4 linked regions of the Notamacropus eugenii genome follow. The protein of the gene in region 2 purifies or fractionates together with the protein of the main gene of each other region. This does not show direct contact. Links are inferred from orthologs where the notes say so. Each region holds a gene or a part of one and is shown on either strand. Other genes may lie near its edges. The genes, in order: RPAP2, POLR2J, UXT and GTF2B.

Region 1 (7,564 bases), about 450 Mb from region 2:
AGACCCAGATGGCTCTGGTGAAGTGAGGGTGGTGACTTGCACAGCCCTCCCTCACTCAAAACAAAGTCAAGTGCAAGTCATGTCATTATTTCTCTGATGGCATGATCTTCTTCTGCAACGAACGATGAACACACACACAGGTCATTCTGACTCAAGATGAAAAGCTCTAATCCTCTGGGCCACTGGCTGCCCCTACCCAGAGCCAAGGCATCCTCCCCCAAAACCTCCTCATTTGGCAATGCCCTGTTAGGAAGAAGTGGAAGTAGAGGTCCTAGGAGGGAAAAAGGGTGAGAGACTGTAAGGCCCCATCACTCTTACACTCCCACACAGGATGATCCACAGATCCTGTTCTCACCCAAATCTCCTAGCCTCAAAGGCACCTCTCTACAGGTCCCTAGATGGTGGATAGAACTCACTACTGTGACTGCGATTTTGGGTGAGTCTGTGAGCTGACTTGGGCCTCTTTTGTCATCTACAAATGGAAGGAGTTAGACTCTGGGTCTCTGAGGCTCTTACAGAACTAGATCTATGATTCTACAATCTCACAGACTAGGGAAGGCAGAAAGATACCAGAGTATTCCTCAGATCGCTTCTCAAAGGGAACAGGGGTAAACTCTTAACACAGACAATCTTCTAAAGCAGATGGCATGAGAATGGGCTAGATTCCCTTTGGGAAATGGCAAGAGTCCTCTAAAGTGGGAATGTCACTCTTAGATAGTGAATGTTCTAAGGCAAGGTGGAGAACCTGTGGCCTCGAGGCCACATGAAAACAATGTTTTGTGAAGTTTGAATTCAGTCAGAGTGGCACCTGAGGACCTACAGGGCCACATGTGGCCTCAAGGCTACAGGTTCCCCTTAGAATCTAAGGGGAACCATAGTAATCTACTGTTTGATAAATCCAAAGACACAGCTTCTGGGATAAGAGCTCACTATTTCACAAACACGGCTGGGAAAACTGGAAAACAGAATGGCAGAAACTGGGCATAGACCAACATCTTATACCGTATACCAAAATAAAGTCCAAATGGGTATATGATTTAGATATAAAGTCTGATAATATAAGCAAATTAGGAGAGCACGTTTAGTTTACCTGTCAGACTTATGGAGAACAGTGGAATTTATGACCCAACAAGAGACAGAGAACATTATAAAGTGCAAAATGGATAATTGTGATTACATTAAATTGAAAAGTTCTTGCACAAAGAAAGCCAATGTAGCCAAGGTCAGGAGTGACACAAAAAATTAGAAAATTAGGAAAACTAGGAAAAAATTTTTACAACCAGTATCTCTGAAAAAGGCCTCATTGTTAAAATATATAGAGAAATGAGTCAAATTTATAACAATACAAGTCATTCCCCAATTGATAAATGGTCAAAGGATATGAACAGGTAGTTTTCCAAGGAAGAAATTAAAGCTAAAGTCAAATGAAAAAATGCTCTAAATCACTATTGATTAGAGAAATGCAAATCAAAACAACTCTGAGGTACCACATCACACCCATCAGATTGGCTAACATGACAAAACAGGAAAATTATAAATGCTGGGGAAGATGTGGGAAAATTGCAACACTAATTCATTGCTGGTAAAGTTGTGAACTCATCCAACCATTCCGGAAAGCAATTTGGAAGTACACTCAAAGGGTTATAAAAATGTGCATACCCTTTGACCCAGCAATACCACTTCTAGAGCTGTATACCAAAGACATCATAAAAATGAGAAAAGGACTTGCATGCACAAAAATATTTATAGCAGCTCAGCTCTTTTTGTGGTGGCCAAGAACTGGCAATGGAGGGGATACCCATCACCTGGGGAATGGATGAACAAGCTGTGGTACATGAATGTAATGGAACGCTATTGTGCTATAAGAGATGGTGAGCAGGAGGACTTCAGAAAAACCTGTGAAGACTGAACTGATGCTGAGTGAGGAGAGGAGAGCCAGGAGAACGTTACACACAGTAACAGCCACCTTGTTCAATGACCCACTTTGGTTGACTTAGCTCTTCTCAGTAATGCCAGGACCTAAAACAACTCCAAAAGCCTCATGATGGAAAATGCCGTCCACATCCAGAGAAAGAACTGTGGAGTCTGAAAGCAGATGGAAGCAGACGATTTTCTCTATTTTTGTTTTGTTTTGTTTTGTTTCTCATGGTTCCTTCCATTCGTTCTAATTCTTCTATACAATATGAGTGATGTGACAATACGCTTAACAAGAATGTATATGGAGACCCTCTATCGGATTGCAAGCTGTCTTGGGGAGGGGGGAAGGGAAGGAGAGAAAATTTAAAACTTATAGAAGTGAATGCTGAAGACTAAACACAAATAATTTAATTTATGTTTAAAAAAAGAATCTAAGGAGACCAGAGTCTTCTAAAGAGGCAGAGGGGAGAAATGGTCTGGATCACCCTGTCTCTAAGGGGGGGTCCCCATCCTCTAAGGGGGTTCCCTTCTCTCTAAGGGGGGTCCCCATCCTCTAAGGGGGTCCCCATCCGCTAAGGGGATTCCCTTCTCTCTAACGGGGGTCCCCATCCTCTAAGGGGGTTCTCATCTCTCTAAGGGGGTTCCCTTCTCTCTAAGGGGGTCCCCATCCTCTAAGGGGGTTCTCATCTCTCTAAGGGGGTTCCCTTCTCTCTAAGGGGGGTCCCCATCCTCTAAGGGGGGTCCCCATCCTCTAAGGGGGTCCCCATCCTCTAAGGGGATTCCCTTCTCTCTAACGGGGGTCCCCATCCTCTAAGGGGGTTCCCTTCTCTCTAAGGGGGTCCCCATCCTCTAAGGGGGTTCTCATCTCTCTAAGGGGGTTCCCTTCTCTCTAAGGGGGGGGTCCCCATCCGCTAAGGGGATTCCCTTCTCTCTAACGGGGGTCCCCATCCTCTAAGGGGGTTCCCTTCTCTCTAAGGGGGTCCCCATCCTCTAAGGGGGTTCTCATCTCTCTAAGGGGGTTCCCTTCTCTCTAAGGGGGGGTCCCCATCCTCTAAGGGGGTTCTCATCTCTCTAAGGGGGTTCCCTTCTTTCTAAGGGGGGATCCCCATCCTGAAGAGGGGTAGCCGGGCCGCCTGATTAGCCCCACCTCCCACAAGGGGCAGGCCCCTCTACCTCGGCGCCTCGCCCCAGTCCCTCGTGGGGCGGCGCGGGTGGCGTGACGTGACGGGCCCCTGGGCCCCAGCTCTTACCCGCGCCTTTGCGAGCGCCTCGGGAGCTCCTGCTCCGGGGGCCGCCACGGGCCCGTGGCTTCGGCTGGTCCTCCATGTCGGCCGCAGCAGCTCCTCCTCCTTCTCCCAGAGCCGCCCGGGACGCGTGTCAGGGGCGGGGCCTCCGTTCGTCCGCCATGATCGCCCCGCCCCCGGCTCCTCCTCCTTCCCCGGAGCCACCTGGGATGGGCTCGGGGGGCGGGGCCTTAGCTCCTCCTCCATGACGACATCACAGGCTCCTCCTACTTCTTCCTTCCAGAGCCTGGGAGGTGAGGCAGGGGGCGGGGTCAGGGCGGGACTTCAGCTCCTTAACCATGGACTGTCTCACCGAGGGCTCCACCTCCTCCCTGCGCCGTGGGAGGTGAGATGTGGGGCAGGATGGGGGCGGGGTCAGAGGCAGGGCCTCAATCCTCCATGACGACAGCGCCACCGACTCCTCCTTCTCCTCCTCCTCCTATCCTCAGCCTGAGACCTGCTGCGCAGATGGGGGCGGGATCCGGGGCGGGGCCTGGGTCCTTCCGCCATTGGTCCTCGCGCCGGGCAGGGCGGGGCGGGAGGCGGGGAGGGGCGGGGCCTCGGCCAGGCTGAGCGGAGGAGGAGGCCCAGGCCTGCCTGGAGAGGGTCGGGGCAGGTAGGCGGCTGCGGCGGCGGTCTGGTTGCTGGGGAGAGCTCGGGGCAGGGCTTTAGCCCCAGGCCCGCGGCCTGAGCTGGGGAGTCACCGGACTCGATCCAGGCCGCGGCCCAGCCCAGGGTGCCTAGGGGGTGGAGGGGGGCCCTACACGCGGCTTGAATCTCGGCTAAGCCACCTGGCCCCCAGCGGAGAGAGCGGGTAGGCCGGGAGACGGGGCTCGTCCGGTGGGACAGCCTCCGAGCCCCTCCCCCCAGCCCCCGAGGACGAGCACTGCTCAGCGCACTCTTCGGGCCCAGCACACAGTAGGCACTTAGTTCACAGGCGTCAGTTTCAGGAGTTGGTCAATGTCACCGATGCCCAGCAGCCAAGCACGTGCAGGGGGAGCTTCGTGAACTTGCTTCTGGTCTGTCTTCTCCCAGTGATCCTCGATTGATTGATTGATTGACTGATTGACTTCCCACAAGTAGGAGAGGCTTCTTTTAAAAGCCATCTATCCATTCGATTTCCCTCCGTCCCAGCAAGGGGTGAAATTACTTAAAGCTCTCCGGTCTCAGTTTCCCTCTCTGTAAACTGAGGGAATTGGCCGTCAGTATAGGTGATGCTGAGGTGGAGTGATGGGGTGATCAGGAGAGTAGGTGATGATAGATTCCCTGAAGGGCTAGTTGCATTTTTTTTTGTCTAAGTATCCTCAGAGCTTAGCCCCGAGGCCCCGTAATCCCTTAAGGAAGGCTTGTTGGATTGAGTGCTGTGGCTTCAGAATCCCAGAGCAGCGCTATCCCAGTGCTGATGGATGAGAAGGTTGACACAGGGGATTTCTAGGGCCTCTTCTGCACCTAGACTATGACCCTGTAAGTGGGGATGCTCTGATGCCCGTGACATTAGAATAGTGGAATCTCCAATAGAATTGTAGAAGTGTAGAATCCAAGAATGATCAAAGAGTTCCCCCCCAGTCCCTATCAGTAGAGCAGGGCTTCTTAAATATTTTCTACTAGGGATGCCCAGTGCTTCTTAAACTGTGTGTCAGGACCCCATATGGGTTCGCTAACAGAGAACCAGAGTTCTGAATTAGACCTGGGATTTCTCAGTATTTGGAGTGATTTTTGCATTACAAAATGCTTACCCTTTCCTCTGGAAAGTAAAGACATCTCAGAAAAAAGTAGGCATATGTAAATGTGGAACTGGAAAACTTAGAAAATACATGAAAAGTTCATTTTTTAAAATACCAACTATTGTTTTATCATCTTTAATATTTCCATAAAAAGACTGCTAAAGTTCAGCGATGATTTTTACTAAACTCTTAAAATTATTAGATTCTTCATAATAATACTTAATTCAGAAGTATATTTATATACCTACTCCTTAATATAATAATAAAATATCTTCATCAGTTAATTGCAGTGTGGTATATATAGCACTGAGCAGTCAAACTCAAGGCCAGAGGCTCTTGCAAAACTCAAGAGTGAGGCTGAAAAAGAGTAAAATATAATTGGGAAATGTTTAACAAAATAAAGAAAAATACAATATAATATAAATAATGTTAATTTGTGGTTTTCTAATGTGGCTGGCTGGGAGGGATTCATTTCTATTTGAGTTTGACACCACTGACATTGAGTATAGAGTCATGCTCAATTTGGAGTCAAGTCTCCTATCTCAACTACGTGATAATGGTCAAATCACTTACCCTTCAACATCCTCAGTTTCCTGACCTATAAAGTGGAAATAATAATAAACCCACTATCTATCTCACAAGTTGTTGTAACAATCAAATAATTAACAAATATATTTATAGTGTATATACATATATATATAAAGTCCTTTGTAAATCTTAAAGCAGGTTATATAAATTGAGCAGTTATTTTCTTTTTAGTGTTTCTCTACAGTAAAACTGAAAGAAAAGTCAAAAACTCAGGAATGGCTGTGGAAGAACTTCAGTCCATAGTAAAGAGATGTGTAAGTAATTTTCTTTTTTTAATTTTTAATTTATTTTATTGCAGTCATAGCAACTTATGAAGATGGTCTAGAATAAGGAACAGAGGGGCTGCCATCTGTGTCAGAGAAGGGACTCCACATCCATAAAACCAGAGAGTCCTGACATAGCTCAAAAAAATTTGAGAAATGGATCTACTTACTTTCTTTTTTAAAAAATTAATTTATTTGTTTTCAGTTTTCAATAATCACTTCCATGAGTCTTAAATTTTCTCTCCCTCTGCTCTCCCTCCCCAAGATGGCATACAATCTTTGGCATGCAATCTTATACGGGTTCTACATGTACATTCTTATTAAATCATTTTCACATTAGTCATGTTACATAGATAAATTAAAATGAATGGGAGAAAAAACAAAACAAAACAAAACATAACACAAGAGAAAATATTCTGCTTCAGTCTGTCTTCCAATTCCATAATTCTTTGTCTGGATGTGGATGGCATTTTCCATGAGTCCTTTGGAAATGTTTTAGGTCCTTACATTGCTGTGAAGGGCTTAGTCTGTCAGAAACAATCATCGCACACTGTGGCTGTTACTGTGTTACTGTGTCCTGGTTCTGTTCATTTCACTCAGCATCAGTTCATATAAGTCTTTCCAGGCCACTCTGAAGTCTTCCTGTTCATCATTTCTTATGGCACAATAGTATTCCATCACATTCATATACTACAACTTGTTCAGAAGTAATTTTCTTTGAACAAAAATAAACCTCTCCCTTCCACATTGTTATTTGTTTGTACCAGAGAATGCTTTGTATGCAAGGCTGGACGTTTGGGTTTTCTCTTGGAGCAGTGTTGCTTTTTTGCCCCCACTATGAATAAATACTCCCAGGGGTGGGAGAAGGATAGTGGAGATACCAGACACACATTGCTTCTCTAGCTTCCTAAGTTTTTCTGAATTTTAGTACATTGGATTCTAAGATAGTTTATTCGGATACTGTTTAGGAAAGTCATTAATTCTGCCCATGTGTTTGTACTATGGGTGTAGATCAAGACTAAACAATCAAGTCATAATTTAATTTATTATATAATCACGTAAATGAATGCTAACTTGTCGGGTTTTGTTGTTGTTTCTAAAGCAAATCCTAGAAGAGGAGAACTTCAAAGAGGAAGATTTTGGTCTCTTTCAGTTAGCAGGCCAAAAGTGTTTAGAAGAAGGGCACGTTGCTCAGGTATTAGACATTTTAGAAAATGAAAAGAACAAGGTAAGTGTTGTCACTTACTATCATGTGTAACTTTTTATACTTTATTAGATAGAGTGCAGCCGACGGATACCCTGGATAACCCTGCCCAGATTACTAAATGAGCATTGCATGAGCGTTCTATTCTTAGTGTACATCTAAATAGCTAATACCATTGGGATACTTAGCATAATAGCTTAAGCCTAACCTTCCAAGCGGTTGCACAAATTCACATCTTGGTAAACAGTGTTAAAAATGGGATTCAGCTGAATTTTTTTTTTCCGTTTGCCAAGTAGAACTCTTTTAGTAATGATTTTAAAACACTTTGTACTGTGTACTTCATTAAAAAAAATTAAACAATTAAGAGCGAGGGTTCATGCCTATGGTTTTTTTTAACAAAATTGGTGGCATTTAGGTAGAGACTTGGATTAATTTAAAGCTTGGGCTGTATTCGTACAGTTTTCACTATACAAAATATAGCCCAACTCCAATGGCCTGACTTCAGGGACCCAGACAAACAATAAATTAATATTATACTCTTTTATTCATTTTAAAGAAAGTCACTTGTGGGATAAAAACAAAATA
Region 2 (8,067 bases):
ACTTAATAACCATTGCTGTTGGCTATTTATAGCTCCCCTCTGATACTCACAGGGAGTCAGCTGGCTTCGGGGCAGGCCAACTCATGGCCTGGGGCTATACTGTACTGAGGAAGGAAAGGAGGGCTACTAGCATTTATGAATCTCCTACTATGTGCCAGGCATTGTACTAAGCACTTCACAATTATCATCTCATTTGCTCCTCCCAACAACTCTGTGAGTTATGTGCTATTGTTATACCCACTTTACAGATGGGGAAACTGAGGCAGGCAGCAGCTAGGTGATTTGCTCAGGGTCTCACAGTTAATAAGGATCTTAGTTCAGATTTGAATTCAGGACTCCAGGAACAGTGCCACTATGAAGCAGCCAGCAATCTTTTCCTCCTTATAGACTTCCTTATGTGCCTGACCGCCTTTCCAGGTTCTTAACCTCTTTGTGTGGGTGTGGTGGGTCTAAGAATCCCTTCTCAGAATAATGATTTTAAATGCATAAAATAAGCAGGATTGCAAAGGAAACCTGTCGTGTGGAGAATTTTCAGAATGGGCTGATAGGTGGCGCAGTGGAGAGAGGGTGGGACCTGGAGTCAGAAAGGACTGAGTTCAAATCCAGCCTCAGTCACTTTACTAGCTGTGTGACCCTGGACAAGTCACTTCACCCTGTTTGTCTCAGTTTCCTCCTCTGTAAAATGAACTGGAGAAGGAAATGGCAAACCTTCCAGAATCTTTGCCAAGAAAACTCCAAATGGGGTAAAAAAGAGTCAGACATGACAAGTGCCTGGAACCCAGGTTAAGGGCCCCTGAAGAACCTCCAGCCTTGGTTTTGTAGAAAGAAGGAGAGTTTTGTCTTTAGGTTACTTCTGAGTCACAGAGGGGGAGCACCCCTGCCAGCTGACGGCTGCCACATCTATTGGTTTCTACTCCCTAGACCTTGTCTTTATCCCACCCACTGGCCCACCCTGGACAAACCCTCCCTGCCCCCATTAGTACCTGCAGTGCTAAACTTTGCTCTTCCGGTCTCCCCTCTCCCCGTTCCCTCCCATCGGGGACACCTTGTCTCTTCTGTCTCACAGGTCTGGGCTGTGACAAAACCCGAAACCGGGTGACCCTGCAAGAGTGGAATGACCCCCTGGACCCAGACCTGGAAGCGCAGCTCATCTATAGACACTTGTTGGGTGTCCAAGACACAATCCGGTGAGAAGGACATCTGTGATCTCCCTCCCTAGTCTTGTCCAGGAGGGTGTTGCCAGAGGAGGGTACCCTCCCAGAGTAGGGCACCTCCCCAGCAGCACGTCTCCTGACCACCTCTCCCTTTTCCTAGACCTGGTAGGCAGAGGGAACCCAAACTCTTGACTTCTTTGCCTTCCTGAGCCTCTTGTTTCTTTTCTGACCCAATTTAATTGATTTAACCAATATTCATGAAGTGTTTCCAATGAGCAAAGTCCTCTATTAGGTGCTGGGTCTTAGGGGACCCTTGGGTGAGATATTGGGAGGTGAGGGGATGAAGAAGGGAGAGGAGCAACTCAGAGCAAGTACCTAAGAAGCTTTGACCAGATGGCTCGGAAGGTCCTCCAGTTATCTGTGCCTCATTATGGCCATCCAAGGACAATGATTAGAAGTAAGGCCACCAGGATAGCTGTGCTAGACTGCTAGGCTTGAAAACAGGAAGAACCCGGTTCACATCTTTGCTTGATGTGTGACTATGAGGGAGTCTCTTAGCCTCTCTGGGCCTCAGTTTCCCCTCCTATAAAATGAAGATGTTGATCTTGGTAGCCTGGGAGATCTCTTCAGGTTCTGAATCTGTGGTCTGGTGCCCTCGGTTCTTGATACGATGACTGCGACTTATCTTTTCATGAAGAGAAGTGGCACAAGAGATGTGTTCCTCAGTTTCCTCACCTGTTGGATCCTCCTAGAGCTGAAATTTTAGATTCTAATTCTGTCATTCAGGGCTTTTCCCTTCCCTGGGAAAGTGATAGAAGTTGATGTTTCAGAGGGTCTGGGTCCTCATTCTTCCTTCAAAGTTTAGAAGAAATGATGGGTTTAAACAGGCTTCTTCATGAGAGCAGGGCAGGAGGTTCAGGATCCTATTCTCTCTCCCAGGTCAAGCTGTGAATCAGGACTCATGGGGGAAAGAATTGGATGCTTGGTAGGGTAAGATCAAACCGAGGTGGAAATGGTTTAACACCAAAGAGAGCATGGAGCTTGGCATAAGGTGCAGAGTGCTGGACCTGGGCATAAGGAGACCTGAGTCCAAATCCTACCTCTGACCCTTACTAGCTGTGAGACCCAGGGCAAAGTATGTAACCTTTCAGAGCCTTAGTTGCCTTATCTGTAAAATGGGGAAAATAGTATTACCTACCTCACAGGGTTCTGAGGATTTTTGTGGACTTAAAGTGTTAAATAAATGTTAGCTGCTCTTATCATTACTAATTTACTACTACTATTAATATGGATACTACTGAAGACACATATTAGGCAGTCATCCACAGATTCTCACAGGAGTAAGAGGGCAACCTTGGTCTAAAACTTGTCCCTTTTCCTTTCCCTCATCAGTGAAAAGTACCTGGAGCTGACTGCCCTGGGGGCTGCTGGGAATATCCCCAACATCCAAAGTGAAGGTAGGACCCTGACAGTCCCTCCCAAACCCCCCTCTTCTCATTCCAGAACAAGCTAACACAGTCCTTCCCAGGCCAAGGGAGGTAGTTTGATGAAGAATTCTGATTCTAGAGTCAGAGGACCTAGGTTCAGATCCCACTTGAGACATTTACCTAGGCCTCAGTTTCCTCATCTGTAAAATAATGGAATTGAACTAGATCTGAGGTCTCTTCTATGATTGTTTCTGTGGACAGATCACTTAAAGTTCCCTGGGCTTCTGTTATACCTTCTTTAAAATGGGGGGGGTGGGGTGGGGGTGGACAAACTGAACTCCCAGGTCCCTTCCAGCTCTGATCCTATGAAAGTCTGGCCCCATGGAAGGTCCTGAGGTCCTAGGACTCTGTGGTCCTTACCAGCCACTCTGGGGATGGTCTTTCCCCAGCACCTGAGGATGGTCCCACCCAGCTGTTCCAGGTACTCCGGGACCTAGAAGATGCCCACCGCTCTGGTCCTCTGACTACAGTAGACCAAGAGAAGAACTATCTCTTGGAGTTGCAGACGTGAGACTGAACTCTGCTTCCCTCAGGCCCAGGCCCTGCCTCGATGCCATCCATCCCACCCTCTGCCTCCTGCTGGGACTGTTTATTCCCAGGAACTCCCTGTCATGCTGGTGGCCTAGGAGCTCTGTGGTTTGGAGATCTGCCTGTGGCCTGGGTGAGCCCCTGGTCCCTGGCCCTGTCCTCACTTCTGCTCCAAAAATCAGCTTTTGGCTGCAAACCAACACCCCTTTCCCCATTTCCACGAGCACTTCAGGGGCCTGAGCCTTGTCCTGGGCTGCGCAGCAGCGCTGTTCCAACGTGTCAAGAGAGCAGCAGGAGGTTGAAAGCGCCCCTCGCTGGGGAGGGGAGCAGAGACATCCATGTGTTGGTTTCCTGGGATGGGTCACTGGGGCCCCAGGATCGGCAGTCCTGGGCCCTCCTTGTCCCCCATCCTTGGCTCGCTCTGGGTTACATCCTTGATTCTAACATTCCATGAGGTTCACAGTCAGGGAGCTGGGCGCTGGGGGAGACAAAGGGGTGCTGTGATGACTGATTTGGACTTGGTGGTTCTAAGGAGTCTCTGGAGTCTGTTCTTCCCTCTGCTGACCCCATGACCGGTGCCTCTGGTCTCCTAGCTGTTCTAGGGAGGAAGTGTGGAGAGCCATGGCCCCTGGGGAAGGCAGGTGGAGAAAGTAGAAGCTGTCACTTCTGCCCCCTTCCCCCCATCCCAGCATGAACACTGGGCCTCTGAGGCTCCTGGGGCTCCCTAGGGCCAGGACTCTGCATCCAGCTTCTTGATTCAGCCCCTGGGGTGGGAAGCCTCTGGCAGCGCCGCTTCCTCCTGTGCCAGCAGCCCCTCCCCTTCGCTGGGCATCACTGCAGATTACAATAAACTTTCCTTTACCCTTGTTGGGCTGGGGCTCTGGTCCTGTCTTTGGGGGGTGGGGAGGGGCACCGAGCATGTCTGGGGTCTGAGGGAAGGGGCACCTACTGTGTGCCAGGCACTTTCTACAAAGGTTATCTCACCTCACCCTCACAACAACCCTGGGAGGTAGTTGCCATTGTTATCATCCCCATTTTACAGACGAGGGAAACTGAGGCAAACAGGTTCCGTGACTGGCCCAGGGTCACACAGGGTCGGAAGCCTGACTTTCGTCCCGACTGCAGGCCCCGGGCACGCCCGCCCCGCCCCCCACCCCAGCGCTCCGCCCCTACCGCTGTGCGCCCCGCCCCGCCCCCACCGCTGCACGCCCCGCCCCCACCGCCTCTGGCAGTAGCCGGAGGCCTCCAGGGATTCCGAGGAGAGAGCACGCTGCGGGCGGCGCATCAGGGGAGTCTTCCTCCGGCTTGGGAGGGGCTCGCTCAGGCCCCTGGAGGCCCGCGTGGGGGAGGCTGCCACCTTGCGGAGGAAGCAGGGAAAGCAGGAGGAGGGGGCGCCGGAGGAGGAATGCTGGGACACCATCTAGCACTGGAAAGGCCGATTCCCACCCCTTAGTTTAACTGAGAAGGAAACTGAGGCACAGAGGGGGAGGGGATTTGCCCAAAATGAGGCAGCAGATCAGAGCCGGCGTCATCCGCTTCTACCAGCGTCCAAGACGGCGTCCGAGCCCGGGCGCTGGAGCCCCGTCGCCCCCTAGCGGGACGGGAAGAACACAACGCCGGACACGCACGCGCACACACGTCTACTAGTGTTGTCCCCTCCCCTCCCGTTGGCCGAGCGGCGCATGCGGCCATCTTCCTCTCCCCCCTCTGGCTCCGCCCCTTCCTTTTCTGTTCCCTCTAGCGGCGGAGTGCGTTACTTCCTGTTCCGCCGCGGTCGCGCATGCGTGAGCTCCATTCGGAGCCAGGCGTGCTCCGGAAGCGGAAGCTGGGTAGGCTGGGGAGTCCCCGAGCTAGCGGCGGCGGCAGAGAATGAACGCGCCTCCGGCCTTCGAGTCCTTCCTCCTCTTTGAGGGAGAGAAGAAGTGAGCGCGGCCGCGGGGCGGGAGGGCCGAGCGGGGCTGCCGCGGCACCCTCGGTAGGAGGGGCCTCAGCCTCCTCCGTGTGATGGGGGTAGACCTTTCCCCGGGCCTCAGTTTCCCCGCCTGTTCCCCCTCTCAGAACACGACGGCCCCTTTTTGGGAAGACGTCACGTGTGGTAGCGCCCCCATTGTACAGAGGAGGAAACTGAGGCCGGCAAGTGTCGGAGGCGGGAGCCGACCCCGGCTTTGTGCCAACTAGTGACCTAGGAAGCAGCAGGGGACGCTCGTCCTGGGGGGGGGGGGGGGGGGCCTGAGAAAGCGCCACAAAAACGCGACAAGGCGCTGTTTGGGCAAAGAACGGGCCGAGCTTCGGTCCTGGGTCCGCAGCGAACGCCTCCCCACGTGTGCCCCTCCAGAGCCGGGCGGGATCGGGTGGGCAGCCCGCGCCCTCACCGTGCCCCCTTCCTCCCCAGGATCACTATCAACAAGGACACCAAAGTGCCCAATGCCTGTTTGTTCACCATCAACAAGGAGGACCACACGCTGGGGAACATCATCAAGTCGTAAGTGCGGCGGGAGGGGGCGGTGCCCAGGCTCCCCCGGGCAGGAGGAGGTGCCAGGTCTACCCAGGTGACCCAGGCCTTGGGCTGGCGCCGCCATCCTCCTTTCCTGAACACTTCTGGATCTTAGGGTCGTGTGCCAGGGAAGAGCGGAGCCCTCTTCATGCTGAACCCCTGAATTCCCAGTTCAGAACTTCTCTCCTTATTCCAGAATTCTGCTTGCTCACTCAGTAAACCCAGACAAGTTCTCCAAACCCGGTCCTGCAGCTTCCGAAGCAGAGATTACACGGCCCTGGAGCGTTTTCTGCTTTGTTTAATTTATTCACATAAAACAAAAACGTTTCACTCGTCTGGTAAGAATTCGTCTTCTCAGCTGTACTCAGAAGCAGAGCATCTTTGCTGCTCATCTCCCTGCCCGCCTTTAGGTCCCTTCTGTCCTCTGCACTTAGACCAGGGAACTCTGGGGAAAGGGGGAAAGGTGAAGCTAAACCTCCTTTCATCCGTTGTAAGCGTTAACCTTGAATTGCTCAGTACGAAAAGGGAGGAGTTTAGGAGACTTCAGTTAGGTTGGGAGAGCGTTACCTGGCACCCAGACTAGCATAAGTCAGTCTTATACTTAGTGTTAACTTGGGCTGCCAGATTGATCTTCCCCAGATATTGTTTATTCCGTTTCCCTGCTCAGACACCTTCAGTAGCTCCCTGGTTCCTATTGAATAAAACTCCTAGGTGGCATTGGAGGCCCTTTTGTTTTTCGGTGGTTTTGTCAGTTGTGTCCAACTCTTTGTGAGTGTTTGGGGTTTTCTTGGTAAAAGTACTGACTGCAGTGGCTTGCCATTTCATTCTCCACCTCATTTGATAGAAGAGAAAACTGAGGCAAATATGGTTAAGTGACTCGCCCAGAGTCACTCAATAAGTGTCAGACACCAAATTTGGACCCAGGAAGATGAGTCTTTTGGTCCAGGGCTCTGCCCACTGTGCCACCTAGCCACCAGGTCTGATCCGTAGGCTACATTTAAAATAATTTCTTGTTGACAGCTTTTGTTTGTATGTAACCTCTATTTCTCTCAGACTAAAGTAACATATCAAAAAAGTCTGGCCTTTTATGCAACATTCTGCATCTATGGTCTCCCTCCTCTGCAAAGAAATGGATTTTTGGGAGGGGCCAAGCTTGGTTATTACAGTATTACAGCATTAGTTTTCTCTTATTTTGTTCTTTCTCTACACAGTGTTGTAATCGTGTATTCTGTTTGCCTGGTTCTGCTGGCTTCACTTTGCATCAGTCCATTTGGATCTTCCCATACTTCTTATTTTCATCATGTTACTGTCTTATAGCAGAAGCACTAATTCACTTCTCTTTATGAATCAGTTTATTTAGCCATTTCCCCATCAATAGGTCTCTCTCTTGTTTCTCGTTCACTAGTGCACCTTAGCTGCCCTTTTAGGCTTATTTCCCTCCTCATCATGTTGAAACCCTTTGCAGCAGTCAGGCCAATTTCCTCAAGATCCCCTCTCGGTGTTGTGTGTATTCACCTGCCTCTGACTTTGCCTCATTCAGCTTGCCTGGTATGTCTTCCCACCCCTCCTCCACATCCTCTCTGTGTCCTCTTAGATCCGATACTTGTAGATCTTTCCTGGGCACCGACAGGGAATATTAAATGCCTTTCTATTCCCCACAGCATTGCCACATCCTATGCCTTGCACACAGTTGGTAACTCACTTAAATTTTACACTAAGTCATATTGCTTACTGGCCAAGTACATGACTATCATTCCACTTTGGTCATATTCAGAAGTTTAAAATCAAGAAATATTTGTTAAGGTCTTTATATAGAGTATTGTGGTAGATAGCCGGAGAGTTAGAAGGATTCGTTAAAAAACATATCCTGCTCTTGTGAAGACTGTGGAGAGTCTAGCAGTGTCTCAGATGCCCAGATCACTTTAATGCTGTAGAATACATAAATCCTTTAGAAAGCTGCAGACCAGCGCTGTCAGGTCTGACTCACATCATCACAGCATGAGGAGGTCAGAGAGTCTAGGGGAGGCGGTATTTGGATTGGGCTTTAGAGGAGGAAGAGGAATTCATCTGGCAAAGAAGGAGATGGAAGAGAAAGTACTCCAGGTTTTGGGGACCCAGGCAGGAAGGGAGATGTGTTCTGGGAGCCAAGTGGGGCTGAGAGGAGTGAGATAAGGGTCAGGACTCTTGGAATGGCATGAAGGCGGGGTCTGCAAGTTTGAGCTTGGCTCTCAGTGAACAGACAGGAAGGGGATGAGTGTTTCTTGGCTACTGCATTCTGAGCTGTGTTGCCTTCCTCCACTTTGTCAGTGAATTCATTTTTTCCTCCATGAAATATCCAAGAGGCAGCAGTATAATGTAGTGGACAGAGAGCTGGCTTCGACACCAGGAAGATCTGGATTCAAGT
Region 3 (7,087 bases), on a different chromosome or scaffold from region 2:
AATTCAAATTGAAAGCTGGCCATATAAACGGTGCATTTGTATGAAGTAAGTATAGCCGTCCATTAGGAGGGAAAGAACGTAAAAAATAATAAAAGCTTTCCTGATTTCACAACAAATATTGTTCTTTGTTTCGAGTAGGTATGTTTCTCACAGATATGGTAGTTAATTTTTTTTATTAAAGCTTGAACCTCAAAAAAAATTCTAAACCCATTTTGCATCTTATTTTATGAGCTATTGTTAAATGAAAGATTAATTTTTTTTCTGTTTGAAGTTTCTCTGATTATCAAGAGACAAAAAGAGCCTTGTGTTGCAAAATCCAATTTCTCCTGTAGTTTATGGACAACATTTTCCAGGGGTGTGTGAATGTTCAGGGAGGACTAACCTCTGGTGTGAGCGCTTGTCCAGTCCTTTTCAGGACTACTTATCTACCTTTGATATCCACCTGGCATTCAACTCTCACTTGTGGCTCCAAGAAGTTATAGCAGATACAGCAGCCACAGCCCAGTAAAACCAGGTTGAAGGTAACCTACAGGCCTCAAAACCCATTGGTGAGTTAGGGGAATGTCTGTCCCAAGCATGTAAAGACTTCTGTTGGCAGAATAGGCTGATGAGAAGAGTTTGTTCTAACAGCCATGAAGGTGGCTCAAGCAGCCATTGTTGAGCGCTTAGGGCTTGGTGGGACATCTACGTCATCCATTGTGTTCCTAGCCCTTCACCAATTGTCCTGACTTTTGTCCTGTCACTGGACTTTGATGGCTCTGGAAGAAAGAGTGAGGCTGACAACTTTGTGCAGCTCTGCTTCACTTTAATCCAGTTCATGAACTAGTCAAGACATTACCCTATGATGTCGCTGGTACTGTTTGAAAATGAAGGACACTCAAGGCAAAATGCCTTCCACACTCAGAAAAAGAAATATGGAAGTCATTCACAAAATGTAGCAGATCATGTTTGTGTATGTGTATGTGTTTGTGTATCATGTTTTGATTTGTTATATGATTTCTTTCATTTATTTTAGTCTGACTACATAGCATGACTATAGTGAAAATATACTCAATAGGAAAGTATATGTAGAACCTATACAGAATTGTATGCAGTCGTGGGGAGGGAGGGGGGTAGTGGGGGGTAGGTGTGGGGGGGATAAAATCTCAATTGTATGGCAGTGATTGTTAAACATTAAAAAATAATAATAAAAAAAAAAGAAAATGAAGGACACAAAACAAGCAGACTTGAGCAGCACTACCTCTCTGCAAGTGACTTGGAACTTGGGAAGCAGATCTATTCCTGCTAGTTAAAAACTGACAGCCTACTTAAGGAAATCAGAATATTTGAAATGAATGTCTGAACTTTGTAAATGCTGGTCTAGGACAAACCACATGAGCACAGACTTTCCTAGGGAAAATGTTTCCCAGAATCAGATGACTTTATGGGACGGTTAAACCCATGATAACAGAATAAGAAATATGTTGTTTAAATGGCTATTTGGGTTGGTTGTCAGGAAAAAGCTGGATTAAGGAAATTATGATATGATGCCCATATTTGTTCGTGTATTGGTTTTGTTTTGCTGTTGTATTCAGTGTTGTCCAATATTTTATCTGCCTGTGGAAATGTTTGCCATAACACTGATGCTGAGACATCTAGAAAGGAGATTGACAGAATGTATGAGAATATGGTTACAGAGAGACATTTCATTTCCTTCTATGACCATAAGGAGTTGTAAGAATTTTTTATTCCTTTCTCTCCAGTATTATTTAAGCCACTTTAATTAGAAGGAAAGTCATGTAGCTGGCTGAGATTTTCATAAGACTCCCAATTATTTTGATCTACATAAAAAAAAAATATGGGAATAAAAGAATTCATGCTACCCCAATCCCAGATTTTTCCCTCATTAGTGATTTTTTGATGAACTAGCTCTAATGTGATTGTCTTCTTCAGTTATCTTTGAAATACAAATCACGTCAGCATAATCTTTGTCATGTAAATCTTTTCTTTCTCTTATCAGTGATTCCTTTCTCTTTGTAGCCACTGTAATGCAAAATTGTATTCTTTTCTTTGTGTCTCTGATGAGATTAGAAACTGTGTAAACTTTAGGAAATCTAAACTTTTAAATCTACACTTTGTTCCTGATTGAGAGAGATTTTTGAGTTCTGGACCTATGCTGAAGCATATAAAATAAACCTTGATTTTATCTCCTAGTTCTCTGCTTGTTGAAAAGCAAGACTGGCAGCAGGTCAAGGAACCACTGGCTATTCCCATAAGAAAACAAAGTGGATGCTCATCCATTAGAGAATAACTACATTTATGGTGGTCCATGAATTGGCATGGAGTGTTACTCTGTTGTAAGAAATGATAAAAGTGATGAAAATAGAGAAGTGTGGAAAGATCTCCATGAACTGATGCCGAGGAAAGTGAGCTGCAACAATGTAAGTAGAAGGAGTCATAGAACAATCAAAAATGAAAATTCTCTGTAAAGAACAAGCACAGGTGGCATCCAACTAACTGACTAGTTTGTGCTGTATTTGCTGGTATGTTTCTTTCTTTTTCTGTGAGACACTGAATGTCTTTTTCAGTAATTCCCTTCCCCCAACCACTTTATGATTACAAAAGAGAATTCATTTGAATATTTCTAAGAACTCGTCTCCTTCTCCAATCTAATAAAGCTTGTAGGAGCTTAACAAATGTTCATTAAGTGACTGATAAAGAAGATACTGTTTGCTTTGGTCTGATGTAAATAGCTATCCTAATATGTTGGGGCAGCTAGGTGGTGCAGTGGCTAGAGCATCAGTGCAGGAGTCAGGAGGACCTGAGTTCAAATCTCACCTCAGACACTTGACACTCACTAGCTTTGTGACCTTGGGCAAGTCACTTAACCCCCATTTCCTCATCCTGGGTCATCTCCAGTCATCCTGATGAATATCTGGTCACTGGATTCAGATGACTCTGGAGGAGCAGTGAGGATGGTGACCTGCACAGCCCTCCCTCACTCAGAGCAAAGTCAAGTGGAAGTCATGTTATTTCTTTGATGGCATGGTCTTCTTTGGCAACCATGTACAAACACATGCTAATACATTAAGCATTCTTTTAATTTTGATAATGTTTAATGTAAAATTTTGGAATAATCTCTTTGTTCTCTCTGAAACAAACTCAGAGAATGCTTCTTCCTATGTCAGCAAAAGCCAGCCAAGGCTGACTCTACACTCCTTAGGAGACCTTTAACCTAAGACACTAGATCTTATTATCTATAGACATATACTATGTTTGTTATGGCATATTAGTGGTAAAGAAAATATAGACATCTTGGGTCATAATTTCTATGTGAAACTTTGTCAAACTCTGTTATCTTATTGTATTTACAGCCTATGCAATTAAGAAATTTCTTTCTAATGGTCTTGTTAGTCACTTATGGAGATCATAAATCTGAAGGACACAGAACACTTCTTTGTCCTAAAACATATTTAAGGCCGCCCAATTCTTTGTATTGGTAGCCAGAACATTTCTGGCTCCATAATGCATTATGGTGCCATTGTCTTTAATAGGGAATTGATTAATTAATTAATTAAATCATAAAATGTATGCATTTAGCCTGTTGCCTTCTTTTTTTAAACCAAGTTTTCAGGTCAACATTTTTCATACTAAAAGTGACTTCTGCCGACTGCCCTATCTGATCTAATCCAAAACTGCTTTGTATGCTCTCTGGGTATATATACACACATACAAATATGTTATAAACATAAGTAAAAAAAGAAAGATCTATATGTGTTATCTGTGGAATTGTGAATGGTACAGGGTAGAGATTTTTTTTTTGTTTTAGACTTTTTTCTACACTGATCAGATTTGCTGATTTTCCCTCTTTAGCAAACATTATTTTCTGTATGGGTTGGCTCTCTGGGAGTAGATAGTAGAAGAAATGTTGGTGGTATTAACCAGCCTCAAAGATGTCAGTATTTTTTAATGCCAGAATTGTTGTATGGGGTGGGTGTGTGTGTAGGCGGAGAGCAAGCAGTGCCGGAGTCTGGGTCCCCAAGGTCACCCTCAAGGTGGCTTCCTGGTCCTAAGGAGGTCCCAGTCTTACCAAATAGGTCAGTACAAAGTGTAGTCAATGGCAGGCAATCTGAGGGGGGAAGGCCTAGGGCAGGCCGCAAGGCAGAGAGGGAAGCCAAGATGCTTTTTTATGCCTGGCACAGAGTAAGCGCTTCCTGAATGCTTGCTGTCTTACTGACAGCCCGCGGGCCAGAGAATTTCAAGGGCGGGGCCAAAGCCGCGCAAAGTCTCGAAACCGGAAGGTCACGAGACGAGTCTCCCGGATCTCGGGGGCCAGCAGAAACAGCTGCTTCTTCAGGTCTTCTGCGCATGCTTCAGCCTGGCAGCTCCCACCCACCTGGGAGTGCAAGGCCACGCAACCAAACACGTGACCCAAGGGGCGGGGAGTACGCGGCAGGAAGTGACGCAGAACCGCCAGGAAGTGATGCATTCCCCTTGCGGCTCACCCCCGGAAGTCAGAAGCGGGTCTTTGCTGGCGCGGCTGGCTGAACTGGATTGAGTGGCGAGGGGCCTGGGCTAAGGGGGTGGGAGGATGCGGGTGGCCAGCATGGCGACGGCACCGCGGGGGGTCCAGGCAAAGGTCCTGCAGTATGAAACCTTCGTCAGCGACGTCCTGCAGCGAGACCTAAGGTAAATGCGAGGGGGCGTGGGGCCTGCGGGGGGCGGCAGCGGGCGGGGCCTAGACACCCCTTCTGCCCCCCACCCCAGACAGGTCCTGGCGCAGCGGGAGGAAGTGTACGGACAGCTGGCCGCTTACCTGCAGCTGAAGAACGTCCTGGAGCGGCTCCAGGTGAGCGGGGCGGGGCGCCCGGGAGCCCCTCCCTTGGGCCCTGGGACGGCCTGGCCCGCCCTCTAAGCACCCCCCCTCCCGCAGGAATCGGGGGATCAGAGGCTGCACACACAGGTGGATTTGGGGTGTAACTTCTTCGTGAATGCCGAAGTGTGAGTCCCCCCCTCATCAGTGGATCACCCTAGATCGACCCTGGAGCAGTGTGGAAGGAAGCCTATGGGCCCCTGCCCCCAGCATAGTTGTTAAGTGCATGAAATAGAATATATGGACTCCAAGGAGATCAGTTCCATTCCATTTCAGGTAGCCAGGGTTTTTTATTGTTTGTTTTTTTGAAGTTCACAGACTCTGGCTTAAAAACCCCTTACTCCATAAGGAACACCCCACCTCCTAATCCCAGAACTCAGAGACCATCCCAAATGCAGAGAAGCCCCAGAGGGGCCACGAGGTTCATAGAGAGCCCCTTGAGAAATGCCTCTGTCTTCCAGGCCAGACCCTTCCCGGATATTTGTGGCCCTCGGCCACGGCTTCTTCCTGGAGCTGACATTGATGGAGGCCTTGAGGTTCATTGATCGGAAAAGCCGCCTGCTCACCTCGTAGGTTTTCCAGGGTTTGAGGGGAACAGGAGTGAGGGGGAAAGGGAAAGGGTCTCTGACGAGCTCTGGCCATCTTTATTTTTTTTTAACGGCTTATTTATTTTTAGTTTTCAACATTCATTTCCACAAAATTTTAAGTTCCAAATTTTCTCCCCATCTCTCCCCTCCCCCACCCCAAAACACCGTGCATTCTGATTACCCCTTCCCCAAATCTGCCCTCCCTTCTATTACACCCCTCTCTTCCCTTATCTCCATCTTCTCTCTTTTCTTGTAGGGCAAGATAGATTTCTGTACCCCATTACCTGTATTTATTTGCCAGTTACATGCAAAAATGGATTGTCAATATTTGTTCTTAAAACTTTGAGTTCCAGCTTCTCTCCCTTCCTCCCTCTCCACCCATCCCCACTGAGAAGGCAAGCAATTCAGTATAGGGTATATGACTTCCATAATAGTCATATTGTGTAAGACTATGTTTCCCTCCATCCTATCCTGCCCCCCATTTCTTCTATTCTCTCTTGACTTTGTCCCTTCCGGAAAGTGTTTACTTCTAATTATTCCCTCTTCCCATTTGCCCTCCCTTCTATCATTCCCCGCCCCCCTTATCTCCTTCTCCCCTACTGTCGTGTAAGATAGATTTTCATACCAAATTGAGCGAGCATGCTATTCCCTCCTTAAGTCTAGCTATCTTTTTCCAGGCTAAGTGACAACCTCACCCGAGATTCAGCTCGGATCAAAGCCCACATCCGATTGGTGCTGGAGGTAAGAAGGGCAGGAGGGTGGAAGGTGTGTCAGTGGAAAGCTTATTTTAGAACCTAACTTCCGATCCTATGTACTCTCTTCCCTCGAAGGGCCTTCGGGAGCTGCAGGGGCTACAAGAGCTGCCAGATCATCCAGGACACTGATTAGGATGCTGAGAATTTCCTTTCCCTAAGAAGACTGCTACTGAGGCTCCAACTCTTGTTACTTGAAATCAGAAATCCCTTTAATAAAAGCTGGGAATGAGGCTGGGGAGGGGAGAATGTTTGTTGCCATGGAGATGGGGCAGCCTTCCTCCCTACCATTATCTTCTCTGCAGTCGCAGAGCCACGGTCTCTGTTCTCTTCCTGTTTGTTCTTATGGTTGTGTTCGAGCTGGCCCCTTTCCTCCGCCTCCTTCCCCCCCCCCCCCCTCCCACCTCGGTGGGCGCAGACTGAAGAAATTCATCTAGCTGCGCTGGGCCTTTTTCTGCGCAGGCGCACAATCTGTCTCCTTAGTGGCTTTAGATTTGCCACTCTAGTTGGTCCCGCCCTTTGGTGGCGGCTTGGTTGCTCTGACTCACGGGTCCCGCCCCTTCGGCCTTCCCTTACCACGTGATCGATAACGTCAGCCAGACCCCGGTTCTTCTATCCCGGTGGTGCTCTGGGCCGGCTCCGGGCTGCTCTGGGCCGGGGCAGGCTTCGGTCGGTCGTAGGGGGAGGGAGGGAGGTGGTGTAAACCAGGCCGGTCCTGGATAAGAGGCTACAGAGTGGACAGGGGCCGGGATCGGTGTCAGCAGAAGAAGGAGGAGCTAGGGGCGGGAGGGTGGCTGCTACCGGGCTGGGACTCCCCCATGGAGCCCCCGCTCCCCGGAGCTGCCATCAGGTTGCTCACAGGTGAGGCAGGGATAGCCTGGGAATCGGGAGGGCAT
Region 4 (8,316 bases), about 450 Mb from region 2:
AGCACTCATCATGTTTTAAAAGCTGCCTTCCCCATTCCCTTAAGATCCAAATAATAATTGCCTCACCACTTCTATTCCATTCATAAAACCACTTTAGGACAAATATAAAAAATATTTTCTCAACAGTCAGTATCACACTGAATAAAAAACTTCCATAATCCAATTCTTAGGGCGAACGTTCTGGTTACCGAAAGCATGTTACTTGAGGTAACTAAAGACTTTCACAGGCCACAGCATCAAGTATTTTGATTATCATAGGGCCGGTTTCAGAATTTATATTCCCAAAGAATGGACATACCAACTCAGGTTGAAGCTTAACAGAGAAACGGTTCAATTTTCAAAGTTTTACAGACTTTTCAACTGTAAGGAACACTAGAAATCATTTCGTCAGACACCTTCACTTACAGATGAGGAAACTGAGGTCTGGTGAGGATTAGTGACCTCAGATCTCCTGACTCGTGGGTCACTATATTACATCCCAATTTTGCATCAATGTAACATAAAAAGATGATTCTGATTATTTCTGCAAAACTTAAATTTCCTTCAGTCATACTATTAAGCTTTGTACTCCCTTCTCTTCCCTCTCCACCAGTAAAACATGAAAATGCTTTCCTGACCTATAAATACCTAAAATGAACATAAAAGCATAAAAAATAACAATTATACCACCATAAAAGGATAATGGGGAAGGGAGAAGGGAAAGGGAAAAAGAGACTCTGAAACAGACGATTCTCCGGCAAAAGGAGAAGTCAGAGCTGATTCCGAACCTTGTTTTGGGTTCCAGGCTGCATCCAACCCAAGGAAGGCAGGGCCTAGGTCTCAAAGAAACTCTTCCCCAGTGCCCAGCACAGGCTTCTGCCGCACCAAAGCTGAACGCAAAACATAACTCTTCTGCTTTTTGGAGAACACAGCTCTTACAAAAACTGAACAGCTCCAAGAAGTAACAAGAACAGATCCTGGTTTCCCCCCATCTTCCTTCCTTTCTTGGGTGAAGGTGCTAATTCAGGGGAAACGGATGTCCTTAATCCACAAAGAGTAAACAGTGACTTAACACCATAGTACGTCCTTTGATTGGCAGGGCAGTCCCTAGTGTATTCCAATGTATTTTCAATTAAATTCTGCCCTAAATGTTACAGAAGATGACGAAACGTACCTAAGCATCTATGGTAAAGAAGCGCTTTCTTTCTCCCTTCCGTCCGAGGGCCCTCGCAACACCTGACGTCTCCATCCCGCGGCCCCCCACACCCTCACCTGACGGCCACACCCACTGCGAGGGTGACCCAACTGGAGGCTGTAAACAAGGGTGCCGGGCCGGCCCGCAGCCGGCGGGAGTCCCCAGTGGCCTACGAGTGCTCGGGAGAAGACGGCAGGCGCCCGCCGGGCTCGGAGGATGGGCGGCGGGGCACGACGAGGGGGGGAACCAGGCGGCCCCGGGGCAGGGTCTCCCCGTGGGAAAGGCAACAGCCGCAGGACTCAGTTTGGGCCCGAAGACCAGAGGCTGGGCTGGGGACTGAACCCGCCCGGGGCAAAGGGCAGCCCGTCCGGAGGAGGGTCGACGCGACATCGGAGCGAGGGCCGCGCTCCCCCCGACCCCACCGAGGGACTCCCCCAGAAGGCCCGAAGGGATTTGGGGTAGGAAGGTTTGCTTTCGGAGACGGCGCGCCGTCGGCCTAGGCTGAGCCTGAGACCCGAGGAGGGGGCGGCCGGCGGAGAAGCCGCGACCAAGGCCAGGAGAGAAAAAGAGGAAGCGTCCGAGGAAAGCCCCAGGGCGGGCGAAGAGAACCCCCCGCGTCCCCCCGGACGCGCCCGGGCCCGGCCCCGCCTCCTCGGCCTCGCCTCCCCCGCGACGCCGCCGCGGAGCCCCGCGGAAGCCGCCCCACCGAGGATTCGCTCCCGGCGAGTCGGAGCAGGACTTACTGACCGGCTAGTGGACGCCATCTTGACGGCGGCCGCGGTGGAGGTTTCGATGAGACCCCCAGGCGGAACGAAAAACAGCACAGCGGAACAGAGAGAAGCGCAAGGACAACTCCGGGAAGCCGCAGGCGGCGCCGCTTTTATAGGCAGACAGCGCGCAGCCGTAGTAAGACGCGCGGACTACGGAACGGGAGAGGAGCCAAGAAGCTCCACTGCTCACGGGCTTCGCCTTTTCTTCCGCCGGCGCCCCTCGGGTGTAATTAACTCAGCCTCCCCTGGGAGTCAGCTGACTCGACTTGAGTGAGGCTCGTCCTGAATGAAAGCCGGAAACGACCGGACGAGAAAAGCTTTCGCTGAAGTGCGTAGAGCCGGGTTACGTCCTCCGGGGCTGCCCCGCACCGTCATGCCTGAAATTGACGCGGTAAGTGCAGCTTTTGTGCTCAGGAGCCTTTATCATCGAGGACCTCCCCAAACCTTTGTTTATGTGGCTTATATCCGTCAGTAGAAATTTAAACTGATAAAATTTTAAAATATTTACAAGTTTATTAATAAAATAAAAACAAACCCATTCCATGTGAGCATCAATCACTCAACCCTATATAATTATATATTTATAAATAACATTAATTCTGTGTGTCTGTCTGTAGTTAGGTGGTGCAGTGGATAGGTAGAGGGCCAAGCCTGGAGTCAGGAAGATCCGAGTTCAAATCCAGCCTCATGTACTTCCTAGCTGCGTGACCCTGGGCAAGTCACTTAACCCGTCTTTGCCTCATGTGTATGAAAGGACACACTGGAAAAGGAAATGGCAAACCACCCCAATGTCTTCGCCAAGAAAACCTCATCGACATTGACTGAACAATAAATATAATATTGTGATGTGTATTATTATATTATCATTAAACATTTAATAAGCACCAAGTATGCGGTAGGCACTGCGCTAAACACTGAGGTCAGAAAAAGTGGCAAAAGACAGTCCCTGCCTTCAAAGATCTTACAAACTAATGGGAAAACAGCGTATCAATAGTTATCTAAAAAGCAAACTGTGCAAGATAAAAAAATAATTATTTAAGAATATATATATATACATAAATATATATATATGCATATATATGGAAGACCCCAGAATTAAGAGGAGTTGGTAAAGATTTCCTGTAAAAGCATAATTTTATGAAAAAAAACACGATTTTCCAAAACAAAAATTAGGGAGACAAGTGGCAGTTTATCATATTTTTACATAACTCTTTAATATCTAGCTTAAATAGAAGACAGCGAGATTCTCTTACCTGCTTCTGCAGTCTGTGAGCACCTTAGAAGCCATAAGAAGAAAGTTTGTGCCCTGGTACAAAGGAAAGAAGGATACCTTCCAGAAGTTTGCATATTTATAACAGCAGGACAAAGGAAGGAGGAGATACCAGATATCTCCACTTAAAGGGGTATGGCAAGGGAGGGGGAAAGGTGCAGGAAAATTGGGAAAAGGAGAAAACCGCTCTTGAAGGGGAGGAGCAAAAGCCCCATTCTTTTCTAGGCTATGAAAATGGAATGGTCTTCTTATCTACAGGGTCCCAGCGACATAAGCAGTTTCTCAGCCTAGTGAAGACTGACTGGCCCCTTGTCTTGACTCCCAAGGGCACACAGAGAGTCCAATTGATGCACTTTAAGGGGCTCAGGGATCCCCAAAGACCTGAGTACTGGACAGGGTCATATGGAATGAATTCATGGACTCAAGTATTCTGTAAGTCAAGGTGACAAAGGTTTATTGTAATGCCAATATGCTAGGCAGTGTTCCCTAAGGAACTTGCCACTTAACAGGAATGATGCTAAAGCTAATATAGGAAAACTAGTGAATTATCCAGCAGATATGCTAATTAAATGATAACTTATAACCTTGTTCACAGGCATCATTCACTATTGGAAACCGGGGGAAGGGGTTTCTCAGGGGTGTATTTTTGATCTGTTATGTCTGTAGTGTTGACCTGAATACTTTGTTAAAGAAAAGTCAACAGGCTAAATGCATACATTTTATGATTTAATTAATTAATTAATCAATTCCCTATTAAAGACAACGGTAACATAATGCATTATGGAGCCAGAAATGTTCTGGCTACCCAGTGCAGAAATCTTCTGGCTTATATACATTTTGCTGTGAGAAAGGAACTCTCCTAGTTGAACAAATCATAAATTTAGTAAGACAAGACAATTAACAAAGTAATGTTGGTCAGGCCTTGCAATTCCAGCTGGGTAAACATATGTCTCGGTGATAAGGAAGGAAATCCCACCACTAGTGAGTGGCAGGCTTCCTGCCCTAAACAGATAACTGACAGGAAAGGGTAAACAAAGTTCAATAGAAATTACGACCTAAGATGTCTATATTTTCTTTACCATTAATATGCCATGACATAGTATGTGTCTATCCCATTATTCAAGATAGTATCTTAGGTTAAAGGTCTCCTAAGGAATGTAGAGTCAACCTTGGCTGGCTTTGTTGACATAGGAAGAGGCATTCTCTGAGTTTGCTTCAGAGAGAACAAAGAGATTATTCCAAAATTTTATATTAAACATTATCAGTAGCAAGGTAGCTTTGAGAGTTGATGTCTATAACTTGACCTCTGGATTGAATATGATAACTTTGTGAATCAATACATGGCAATTCGGTGGTTACAAGATAGTCCTGTTTTTACAAGAGAACTTCTTCAGAGGTCAGCTTGTTCTTGTGATGGGGCCCACTCCTGAGTAATTGTGGGGAAAGGTAGTTTGTTTTACTGGGGCGCACTCATGAGTTATTGCTAGGCATAGTGTCCTAGGGCTGGGGTGAAAATTGTCAGGGATAGTGTTTTTTGAAACTAAGGAGAAATGGTATCTTGAAATTGGGATAAAAGCACAAGCACCCAAGCACCCCATCACAGTTTGGGATGAAAACAGCAAATTACATCAGCTGGGGAAGATGTGGAGGCAGGGAGCTTTGTCCTTCACGCATTCAGGGCCTCTTGGATATTCTAGGTTCAGTGTTTCTGGAAAAATATGGCAACTCAAAATGGCAAATTCAGGAGACCCCTTCACTGTCCTTAACATGTTCCACCAAGCTGTATCGTGTATTTAGAACTGAAAGGACTCTCAGAGACCAGCTAGTCTAAACTCCACATTTTACAGATGAAGAAACTGAGACCCTGGGAAGGTGTAGAGATTTCTAAGAGTTCACATGGGTAGTAAAGAGCTGAGCTGAATTCAAACCCAGGACCTCTGACTCCAAATACAACAGTCTTTTCATTGTGCCATGTTTTCATAGCCCCAGTTACAATGGAGAGCAACATGGTACAATCTTAGTTCAGTCCTATATTTATTATGGGTATGCTCTGTGTGTAAAGACTAATGAAAAATAGGTTGGGCCTACACAGAGCTTGTTGCCCACCATATAATTCTGTTCATTAGTGTCAATAAAATATGCCCATTTTATTATTTAATAATAGGTATTATCAAATTTATTAAAATCTTGCTTCCCCTGAATAAGAACTGTCTTGGGCAATAGAGGAAAGCATGAATAAGGTAGTAGAAATTACCTTGGATGAAAAATCAGAAAGCTCAGATTCCTTCCTTTTCCAAGAGAAAGACAACCTTTAAGGCAGGAGTCTGCTTCTTCAAATCAAATGCTTTTTTTTTAATAGACAGAAAACAATAGGCAGTGAGGGGTCTTTAGGATTTTCCACCTCTTCTAGTCAACTGTGTGACTGTAAAAAAATGGGAAAGCTACCAGTCAGACCACCAAGGTGTGCCTTATACAGCAAGACAAAACAATAAAATTCATTGGAAGGAACCAAAGGCCTCGACCTAGGATTTCAAGGGAAATCATAAAAAAAAAGTAGGAATTCAGGGAGAATAACTTCCAGACCTCAAATTATATGACAAATGAATCATCATCAAAACTGTTTTGGCATTGGTCCTGGAATCAGGAGGATCTGAGTTCAAATATGGCATCAAACACTAGGCAAGTCACTCAACCCCAGTTGTCTCCAAAACAAACAAACCAAACACACACACACACACACAAAAACTATTCTGATACTGGTTGAAAAATAGAAAAGATCTATAGAACAGCTAGCATAAGGAATCCCTGGAAACAATTCTACTCGATTTTTGTTTTTCTATTGTTGTCATTTTATTCACATCTGACTCATTGTGGCCCAGTTTGGGGTTTTCTTGACAAAGATACTTGAGTGATTTGCCATTTCCTTCTCCAGCTCATTTGACAGGTGAAGAAACTGAGGCAAACAGGGTTGAGTGACTTGCCCAGGGTCATGCAGCTAGTAAGAATCTGAGCCCAGATTTGAGATCAGGAAGATGAGTCTTCCTTACTCCATGCCCAGCATTCTGTGTGTACACACACACACACACACACACACACACACACACACACACACATATACACACACACATACACACACATACATTGAATAAATGCAGATATATACAAAATAGTTAAATATAGGGTCGTTTGAGAAGGACACTAGCAGTTGGGGGGGGATTACATGAAGATGGTACTAGGGGTATGTCTTTTTTCTTTTTTTTTGGAAGCAGTCAGGGTTTAGTGACTTGCCCAGAGTTACACAGCTAGTAGATGTTCTTCATTCCAGGCCCACCACTCTATTCACCGATCCACCTAGCTGCCCTGATAATTAATGGGAAATTTGGTCATCTTGTAATATAATACTCATAGTAAACAGTGCCTCCCAAAAAATCACCATGAAAATCATGGCAATTTTTGCATCGATATGTATGTAGAGAATGAGAGGAACAAAAATTCTATGAAGACCTTGATGAAACCCCTCTATATTAAATCAACATGTACAGTAATACTTGGTGATTTAGAGATATATACAAATATATCTATACATATATAGATCTCTCTATGCATGTATGCATATATGTATAGTTTTAAAAATTCATTTCTTACACCTAAGCCGGGGTGGGCAACCTATGACCTCGAGGTCACAGGTTCCCCACTCCTGACTTGAGCGTTATTTCAAAGAGAGAAAGAAGAGAAGGGAAAGAACACAGATCAGGAGTAAGAAATGAAAGTAAGCAAGAAGTAAGAAATGAAAAGAAAACTCCAAGGCTTCCAGTGTATGTTGAATTCTCATGTCTCCATATAATGGATACAGGCTTCAAGAAAAGTCAGGAAGGATACTCCAAATGATGTCACCAACAATGAATGTGATTATATTTTAATAGAAAAAGTGACTGGGCACCAATGTGGGAGTCATTTCTGAATCAGCTATTCTTACGCAACTAGCACATGAAGTTCTTAGAAGATTCAAATTCGTATGAAATTAAAAGTAAAAATAACATGGGTGCAATTAAGATAACTCCAACCTGACTTGTTTCAACAAGTTATTGATGTCCAAAATGAGAGATGGTTTAAAGACAGACATAGACACAAGAGGTCCCCATTACTAAGGAAATTTAAGCAATGTAAATTGATTACCATAACAAATTGTCCAAAAGACCGAGGAAGTACCTCAACCAGAAAATGTTTGATTTCCTTGCCAGGTAGAAACATATGAAATAAAAACAATGCCTTTAATACTTATTGAAACTCTCAAATTCTTAGTCACTGACTTAGAATATAAACTTTTTGGCTAAGCACTATATGTGAGATTGTAAGCAATTATCATCTCCCAGAGTCCTGAGAAGCAGTGGAGTGAAAAACTATTTTGCAGAAGAGACAGAAGAAACCCAAGGAAACCAGATCATCTTAAAGACTTTACAAAGCTGGAAGGACAATGAACAGAAGAAAAATAAGAAACCCTTAAGAATTTCTCTAACACTGTCTTCTCCGTCAGCGTCATTTAGATTTTAACGTCACTGCCTTCTATGTTAAATGAGAAAATAAAAATGGCAGTAAAGAAGCCAAAAACAACAACAGCTGGACTAGATCAAGATTTTGAGGTTGCTGAGGGATCAGTTCTAAATTCTTGGGAAAATCATGTATTTTATTGCCAAAAAATGGGAAAGAAAGCAAGATGTCAGTAACTGTTGACAAATATGGTTAGTTTCTCATTGCTACAAAATCTTCATATGGTAATCTACACACACCAAGAATATAATTGATGGAAACTTACAAAGGAAACTTACAAAAAGCTTAAAAAGGAATCTTACAGAAATCCAGGAAAGCCAGGAGCCAGACTGAATGATCGTTGGCCATGGATTTCATATTTAAAGCACTACCCATTACATTAATTTTTATAGGTGTCTGAAAAACTGTGATTTTTAGCCTTCTCTGCCTCCTCCTTTTCAAACACCTTGATAATGTCACTGCAGAATAGAGCCATAACTAGGGTATGGCCATAGAGCCCCAGGATGGGAGTGGGCACATTTTTCCCTCTTTCCACTGGGCCAGCTTTCTCCTAG

Evidence for each region.
Region 1: the proteins of POLR2J (region 2) and RPAP2 purify together in Homo sapiens (affinity purification with mass spectrometry; 5 studies listed by BioGRID and IntAct, with this or other methods). This does not show direct contact. The link is inferred for Notamacropus eugenii from reciprocal best matches to the Homo sapiens genes POLR2J and RPAP2.
Region 3: the proteins of POLR2J (region 2) and UXT purify together in Homo sapiens (affinity purification with mass spectrometry; 3 studies listed by BioGRID and IntAct, with this or other methods). This does not show direct contact. The link is inferred for Notamacropus eugenii from reciprocal best matches to the Homo sapiens genes POLR2J and UXT.
Region 4: the proteins of POLR2J (region 2) and GTF2B purify together in Homo sapiens (affinity purification with mass spectrometry; 3 studies listed by BioGRID and IntAct, with this or other methods). This does not show direct contact. The link is inferred for Notamacropus eugenii from reciprocal best matches to the Homo sapiens genes POLR2J and GTF2B.

The regions. Positions count from the first base shown.
Region 1 is NC_092873.1:503,848,226-503,855,789, reverse strand, and holds the start of RPAP2 (putative RNA polymerase II subunit B1 CTD phosphatase RPAP2), read right to left. Parts: upstream 3,358-7,564; 5' UTR 3,244-3,357; coding exon 3,168-3,243; intron 1-3,167. Other genes in the region: GLMN (glomulin), read left to right, coding at 5,728-5,766, 6,878-7,003.
Region 2 is NC_092873.1:51,623,137-51,631,203, forward strand, and holds the start of POLR2J (DNA-directed RNA polymerase II subunit RPB11-a), read left to right. Parts: upstream 1-4,884; 5' UTR 4,885-5,038; coding exon 5,039-5,091; intron 5,092-5,561; coding exon 5,562-5,651; intron 5,652-8,067. Other genes in the region: ras GTPase-activating protein 4-like, read left to right, coding at 1,067-1,187, 2,547-2,611, 3,175-3,623. UniProt on the Homo sapiens protein: Core component of RNA polymerase II (Pol II), a DNA-dependent RNA polymerase which synthesizes mRNA precursors and many functional non-coding RNAs using the four ribonucleoside triphosphates as substrates.
Region 3 is NC_092879.1:101,807,717-101,814,803, reverse strand, and holds UXT (protein UXT), read left to right. Parts: upstream 1-4,451; 5' UTR 4,452-4,570; coding exon 4,571-4,668; intron 4,669-4,746; coding exon 4,747-4,828; intron 4,829-4,912; coding exon 4,913-4,980; intron 4,981-5,313; coding exon 5,314-5,421; intron 5,422-6,116; coding exon 6,117-6,180; intron 6,181-6,269; coding exon 6,270-6,323; 3' UTR 6,324-6,424; downstream 6,425-7,087. UniProt on the Homo sapiens protein: Involved in gene transcription regulation. Acts in concert with the corepressor URI1 to regulate androgen receptor AR-mediated transcription. Together with URI1, associates with chromatin to the NKX3-1 promoter region.
Region 4 is NC_092873.1:499,140,883-499,149,198, forward strand, and holds the start of GTF2B (transcription initiation factor IIB), read right to left. Parts: upstream 3,087-8,316; 5' UTR 1,939-3,086; coding exon 1,922-1,938; intron 1-1,921. UniProt on the Homo sapiens protein: General transcription factor that plays a role in transcription initiation by RNA polymerase II (Pol II). Involved in the pre-initiation complex (PIC) formation and Pol II recruitment at promoter DNA.